Sus scrofa: one gene and its partner. The protein of the gene in region 2 purifies or fractionates together with the protein of the main gene of each other region. This does not show direct contact. Links are inferred from orthologs where the notes say so. Each region holds a gene or a part of one and is shown on either strand. Other genes may lie near its edges.

Region 1 (3,749 bases), on a different chromosome or scaffold from region 2:
ACGTCTAGAGAAGACATCTAGAGGGAAGTGGTAGTTGAGAAGCCGCCTGGGGAAATGGCATAAAATACCACAACTTGACATCCAGGGACTGTGGGTTCTAGAACCCCCTGAATAAGCCCACAGTTCAATGCTAAGAACCTGGCTCTAATGCCTTCTAAGGGCTGTTTCTCTGTTGCCCCCTTTGGCGATTTCAGAAGGCTTGGTCACCCTTTAGAGTCCTTGAGAACTAGAGTATGGAACTTCAAGGTTCAAGGCATGAATTATGGTACTTAAGGTCTCTAGGTAGTGAGGCATCAACAGGTGTCTTCATCACAAGAGAATTACCATACCATCAGCCTTGAAAAGCAGCCTTTAATTTCTCACTGTTTCTCTTTCCATGTCACTATTTTTCTTAGACACACGAGCAAACATTGAAACTACGGTTTGGGGCAGTTCCCGTCTTAGCTCAGCGGAAACGAATCTGACTAGCATCCATGAGGACATAGGTTCGATCCCTGGCCTCGCTCATTGGGTTAAGGATCCTGAGTTGCCATGAGCTGTGGTGTAGGTCTCGGTCAACGGTTCAGATCTGGCCTTTCTGCGTTGCTGTGGCTTAGGCCAGCAGCTACAGCTCTGATTCCACCTCTAGCCTGGGAACCTCCATATGTGTCAGATGTGGCCCTAAAAAGAAAAAAAGAAAAGAAACTACGGTTTTTATCTGACATCAAGAGAGCCTTAATCTTCTCAAGGGATCATACTATGTTATAATCTGAATAAAGGGATTAATGATATATTTTGCTAAATCAGTCAAAGATAAAATAAAAGGCAGACTTGCAGAAGAGGACCTATTCAGGTTTCTGAATAATGCCACTGCATCCAATAATGTTTATTAAATTTCAGTTACATAACTGCATACTTAATGGAAAGTTTGTTTAGATTATATTAGGTGTAGATTCACTTGCTTTTTAAAAATTTACTCCTTAGTCACTGTTTTGGCTCATCCCAAACTAAAAGAGAAGGAAATGTTTTGCTATGTGTTCTTGGAAAACTGGGAGAAAGGTCACACTTATTGAGTACCTACTATTTGCACAGCATCTTACTAAGCACTTCAGTATATTATCCCTTTTAGTAACCAGGACCAAGCTTGAGCCATGGGGGTTATTATACCCATTTTAGTAACAAAGACTTTGAGATTTAGAGAAATTATGACACACTTAAGGTAACAAAACTAGTGTCTGAAAGAGAATTTGAACTCTAGTCTCTCTGGCTCTAATTCCCCTTTTACTTTAAGCCATGTTGCTGTACTTTAATATCTAAGAGGGAAATGTAAATGAAGTAACCTATGTCACTTTTATCATTTTATTATGAAAATATGGAGTTGCTGTTGTGGCTCAGTGGGTTAAGAACCCTACACCGTGTCCATGAGGATGCAGGTTCTATCTCTGGCCTCGGATGTAACCAAGCAGCCATGTAGGTCACATCTGGTGTGGCTGTGGCTATGGTGTACGTAGCCTGGCAGCTGCAGCTCAGATTTGACCCCTAGCTTGGGAACCTCCCTCCATATGTTGCAGGTATGGCCATAAAAAGAAAGATACATAGATATAGATATAGATATAAATTTTTTTGAAGGTAGAGTGGTAAGAGGCAGTTTTAGGACTTCTGTGTTTCATTTTGTTGTGTTTTGTTGGCCCCACTCTCAGCGTGCAGAAGTTCCCAGGCCAGGGATCAAACATGCGCCACAGCTGTAACCAGGGCCATTGCAGTGGCAACACTGATCCTTAACCCACTGAGCCATAGGGGAACTCCTGGAACTTCTCTGTTTTTACATCTCTCACTATAGGATACTTGCCATCCATTTGGCACCCAAAAAAACAATTCTAGGGGGAAGGATGGAGTGGGAGTGTAGGGTTAGCAGATGTAAGCTCTTATGTATAGAAGGGATAAAGAATAAGGTTCTACTGTATAGCACAGGAAACTATATTCAATATCTTATGGTAAACCATAATGGAAAAGAATATTTTAAAAAGAATGTATACATACATATACATATATATCTGAATCACTTCGCTGTACAGAAGAATTTAACACAGCATTGTAAATCAACTGTACTTCAATTAAAAAAAAATCCTCTTGTTTTAAGAGTTCATGATGTCATAGGTCTTTTGAATGTTCCCAAGAATGTTATAAGAATGATGCTCTAATTTTGTCATTGCAAGGGGATCCTGACTGAATGTATCACTCTGAACTATTTCACAAGCAGTCTTTCCCTGCATGTTAAATGATTTCTTTTTGCCAAAAATATGTGTTCCCAGATATTTATGGAATATTCTGACATTTGAATGCCCCCAGGTCTGTGTGGGCTGGCTGCTCTAGGGACAGATTAATAGACGAAGGAAAATTTTGAAAGTGTTTATACAGTTTTGAGGAATGAGGTGGTAGGATCTGTACATTTTTGTTCTTTTCATACCAGATCCCTCACATTTTTCTTTGATGATGTCAAGAAATAAAAATTTTCCTTCCTCAAGAACAAGTACTCATTTTTGTGGTTTTTTACAAAATTGACTTTTACAAACACAATACTATGTTTCACTCTACACACATCTCTGGAAAATGTTAGTTCACACATTAAAAATAGGATGCTAGGAGTTCCCGTTGTGGTGCAATGGAATGAATCTGACTAGGAACCATGAGGTTGCAGGTTCAATCCCTGGCCTTGTTCAGTGGGTTAAGAATCTGGCATTGCCATGAGCTGTGGTGTAGGTTGCAGAGACAGCTCAGATCCCGCATTGCTGTGGCTCTGGCGTAGGCTGGCAGTTGTAGCTCTGATTTGACCTCTAACCTGGGAACTTCCATGTGCCTCAGGTGTGGCCCTAAAAAGCAAAAAAAAAAAAAAAAAAAAAAAAAAAATTCTGGTTAACTCCTTAACAAGACTATAGAAACCTAGCAAAACAATAATCTCTATGTATATTTGCTTTAAGTTCTTTTCAAAGATTCTTTTTCACCTTGATTTACTATTTTTTAAAAATTTTTTTTGGGGGGGCGATAGTTATAGACTCACAGGAAGTTAAAAAATATTACAGAAAGGTCCTATGTACTCTTTACCCAGTTTACCCCATTGGTAGCATCTTACATACCTAAAATACATTTTAAGAAATTGACATCTTGCTATCTTTCAATTTTTAGTTTCCTTTTATGTTTCATTATATTAAAATTTACCATTTTTCAACAATTCATTTCTATTATATCTGGCTCTTCTCCCTTTCTAAATCAGCACATGGCAAGATCAGTAAACTTGCCAGGGTGCTTGTATGGAATAATAGATTTACTAAAAACTTCTATGGGTCAACACACTTAAAAGTGATTCATTTGCAAGATTTTTGCTTTTTTTGGCTCATACTATTCCATGCCATCCTTCCCTAATAAACCTGTAAATTTATACAACCTGTATATGTGTGTGTTTTCATACATCTTCTGACCACTGAAATGTCCTCAAAGAGATTGCTATTAAAAAAGAATGAAGGGCGTTCCGTTCCCGTTGAGGCACAGCGGAAATGAATCTGACTAGTATTCGTTAGGGCGAGCAGGGTCGACCCTGGCCTCTCTTAGTGGCTCAGGGATCCGGTGTTGCCGTTGCCATGAGCTGTGTCATGGAGATCACAGACTACATTGCTGTGATCCCGCATTGCTGTGGCTGTGGTGTAGACCAGCAGCTGCAGCTCTGATTCGACCCCTAGCCTGGGAATTTCCATGTGCTGTGGGTGCAGCCCTTA
Region 2 (3,649 bases):
GGCCCAGCTCAGAGACCCGCTGTCGTCCAGGAAGGTCTGGAGGCCAGGGCGCAGCCGGGTCAGCGGGCGCCGGCCTTCGGGCTCCAGGCTCCCTCGCCCGCCCGATGGCCTGCCCGCCGGCCCGCTGGCCCACTGGCTTGGCCGATCCCTCCCCTCCCACCGCCCCGAGGACACCGCCGGGAGCGGTGATGGCGGGCGCCCCGCAGCCGCACCTTGAGCACGATGTAGCAGTCGGCCTCGTAGAACTTGCCGTGGAGGGCTTCTTCCACCAGCACGGGCACGAAGTTCTCGATCTGCCAGATAGTCAGGCCGGGCAGCTGGCCCACGTCCTCCGTGAAGAACTCGGAGTAGTCGAGGCGCGGCTTCTCCAGGCCCTGGTCCCAGCGCCGCACCTTGGCCCCGGGCGCCCGGGCATCCGCGCCCTCCTGGGCTCGCAGGCACAGAGAGAGCGGGCTTGACGGGGGAGCCCCTCGGGCTGGCCCCCCGCGGCCCGGCTCAGGGCCTTTGCGCCGCTGCTCCTGCCCGGGCGCCCGCTCACCTCCTGCTTCCTGTTCTTCTCCTGGGCCACGTCCGACATGCCCTTCAGCACCTGCTTGGCCTGGTCGTCCTGCGCCGAGTCCTTGCGCCGCCGCAGCCGCATCTTGCGGGCCAGGGGGTCCTTGGGCCCACTCCCTGCTGAAGGGCGGGGCAGACGGCTGAACCTGGCTGGGCCCGGCCCCGGGGCCCCCAGCCGCACGCGGAGGGACGGGGGACCCCATGCCCCCGCCCGGGCCACCCTGCCCGAGGCACAGGTCGGGGCTGAGGCCCAGAGAGGAGCCGCCCCCTCCCCGGGCTCACCCGCCGCTGCCGCAGCCACTGTGGCAGGGGAGGCGCCTGCCAGCCGCAGCTGGTTTTGCAGCGAGAAGTCGATGTTGTACCACTCGGCGGCGCGGTCGGCGGGCTTGGGTGGCATGACCAGGCTGGGGTTCTCCCGCACGTCCAGGACCTGCCTCGTGGGGCGAGCGGAGTGGGTGCTGAGCCCGAGTCCTTCCTCCCGGCCACGGCAGCCCCGTTTCTTGCTCTTTGCAGCCACCAGGGCCACGGGGCTCAGCTCTCAGCCGGCTCCGCGGCGGCCCTCCCGGGTGCAGGCTTCCCCGGCTGGCAAGGGCGACCTCGCGGGCAGCTCGCGAGGTAGGTGATGCTGCCGAGCGTGATGTGAACACAGGATGTGGCCCCCTCCCTGGCACTGCCACCCCTCGGGAGCCTCTGTGGCCGCCCCCAGGACGCCGCTCCTGTCTCTCCTGCGGGTCTGCCCCCCCCCCACCCAGGGGCGGCCCCCCGCCCGACCTCGATCTCCGTCAGGAAGTGGACGGCCTCGGGGAGCGTCACCAGCCGGTTCTTGTTCAGGACGAGCTTCCTCAGCTTCGTGCACCTGGGAGGACGCGGCTCGGTGACCAGGAGGTTCTGTGACGCCCACAGGGCAGCCCTGTCCCGAGGGGCCTTCTGAGGACCCAAGGCCGGGGATACGCACGAGAGGGTGTCGGAAACACACCCACCCTCGTGTCGGCTTGGCAGCTGCCAGGGACCAAGCTGGTGGACACTGGGAGCTCCAGGATGGGAGGTGGCACCGTGTCCCAAATGCTGGGGGCGCTCTGGCCTTGTGCCTACCGGGGTGCCCTCAAGGGGTGCTTCGGGGAACCCAATCTGGGGGGTCCTAGCTGGGACCCTGGGGTTTCCGTGCTGCTCCCCCGCCCGGCCTCGCCCCAGCACCTGCACAGGCTTTCGGGGATCAGCTCCAGGTTGTTGTTGGCGGCCATAAACTCCTCCAGGCTGGCCAGCTTGCCGATGCCCGAGGGCAGCCCGTCGAAGTCCAGCTTGTTGGAGTTCAGGTACAACCTCTTGAGCTTGGTCAGCTTGCAGATGGCCGACTGCAGAGGGCGCAGGCAGGGGCCGGGTCAGGGGCGGGAGCGGCAGCCCGCGGGCCCCCACCCCCCCGCCGGTCCCTGACGCACGGGCAGTGAGGTCAGCTGGTTGCGGGACAGGTTCAGGGTCTCCACGTGCACCCACTGATCGATGCACAGGGACAGCTCCGTGATCTGGTTGCTGCTGAGGTTGAGGCGGCGCAGGCTGGGGAGGGTGTACAGGCACTCGGGCACCCGCGTCAGGTCGTTGCAGGACAGATCCACATCTGGGGTGCAGGGCGGGGAGCATCAGCCGGGCCCGGGCAGTGGGCTCGCCCTCCGACCTCCACGCTCTGGGGCCTCGGGCACGTGACTTAAGCCCTCTGACCCTCAGGGTCTCACAGCAGGCTTCGTCTGTGTAGCCCAGTACCACTAGGGGTCCCGAGAGCGACCGGGGGCTGGGGGGACACAGGCACACCCTCTTCCCTCTGGAGGCGCTCAGAGAAGCAGGCGGCTCCCTTCCTCTGTAAAGAAGAGGGGCCGAGAAGGTCCCCCAGGGACGGCCAACCTGCGAGATTGCTCAGGCCCTCCAGGCTGGTGGGCAGGTTGCTCTGGGTGCGCTGCGTGTTCCGCAGGTGCAGGGTCTGCAGGGCCGTCAGGGCCGGGAGCTGCCTGCGGGGAGACCGGGCGTCAGGCCAGGGCCGGGACAGAGTGGGCCTGAGGGATGAGGCCAAGGGCGGCCCCGGGCCGGGACGCCTAGGAAGGAGGCTCGGCGGGGAGGCCGGGCGGGCGCCCACCGGAGCTGGGCGTGCAGCAGCGGGTTGCCGTTGAGCACAAGCGTCTGCAGGTGCACCAGGCGTCGCATCTGGGGGGGCAGGCTCTCCAGGCGGTTCTCGCCGAGGTCCAGGTACAGCAGGTCCGTCAGGTTGATGAAGAGCTGGTTGGGGATGCTCTCAATGCTGCGGGCGGGAGGGCTGCTGGGTCAGGGCCACACGCCCGCCTCCGGGACCGCCGCCCCGTCCCCAGCCCTGCCCGCCCGCCCCGCACCTGTTGTGGCTGAGGTTCAGCACCAGCATGTTCTTGGCATTCTCCAGCTCCCGCGGGCACTCCGTCAGCTGGTTGTAGCTCAGGTCCTGGGTCGGGGTGAGGCTGGGTCAGGGGTGTCAGGGCTGGCCCCACCCGCCAGGCCTCTGCCAGCTCGAGGACCAGGATGGGCACCAAGAGGGGAGCAGGGAGGGGGTTTCAGGGCCAAAGGGAGGCCCTGGGAGGAAGGGGCCCGGGGGAGCCAACTGGCTCCCCAAGGGACCTTGGGCAAGGCAGTGCCTGCTCTAAGTCTCGAGTTCGTCCATCACAAAGAGGATGCGAGTGGCCCCCAGAACCACAGTGGCAGATGGGGACTGAATGGCAGGCTGGCAACAAGAGCCCGGTGGTGGGTAACCACTGACCAGGACTGAGAGATCATCCAGCTTGAAGATGTCGTCAGGGACTCCAGAATTCTTCAGGCTGTTGGCTCGAGCCACGATGGCCTGGGGATAAACCATGAGAGTCCATGCTTCCTGGCTGCCACCCTCAGGAGAAGCAGAGACCACAGAGGGACAGCTTCTCAGGAGCCCCTGGAGGCCAGGCCTGAGGGCTGGCCCAGGCTGGCCTTTGCTCTCACTCCCAGGCTTGGCGAGCCCTTCCTAGCCTACGAATAAGCTCCTATTCACACCTCAAAACCCAACCCAAATGTACCCCAGAGCCCAGCACAGGGCACCTCAGGGAACTTT

Evidence for each region.
Region 1: the proteins of FLII (region 2) and LRRFIP2 purify together in Homo sapiens (affinity purification with mass spectrometry; 3 studies listed by BioGRID and IntAct, with this or other methods). This does not show direct contact. The link is inferred for Sus scrofa from reciprocal best matches to the Homo sapiens genes FLII and LRRFIP2.

The regions. Positions count from the first base shown.
Region 1 is NC_010455.5:21,665,993-21,669,741, reverse strand, and holds the start of LRRFIP2 (leucine-rich repeat flightless-interacting protein 2), read right to left. Parts: upstream 2,847-3,749; 5' UTR 1-2,846. UniProt on the Homo sapiens protein: May function as activator of the canonical Wnt signaling pathway, in association with DVL3, upstream of CTNNB1/beta-catenin.
Region 2 is NC_010454.4:60,478,640-60,482,288, reverse strand, and holds part of FLII (protein flightless-1 homolog), read right to left. Parts: intron 3,407-3,649; coding exon 3,326-3,406; intron 3,014-3,325; coding exon 2,928-3,013; intron 2,840-2,927; coding exon 2,678-2,839; intron 2,553-2,677; coding exon 2,449-2,552; intron 2,168-2,448; coding exon 1,992-2,167; intron 1,908-1,991; coding exon 1,750-1,907; intron 1,412-1,749; coding exon 1,327-1,411; intron 986-1,326; coding exon 838-985; intron 676-837; coding exon 539-675; intron 426-538; coding exon 213-425; intron 37-212; coding exon 1-36. UniProt on the Homo sapiens protein: Is a regulator of actin polymerization, required for proper myofibril organization and regulation of the length of sarcomeric thin filaments. It also plays a role in the assembly of cardiomyocyte cell adhesion complexes.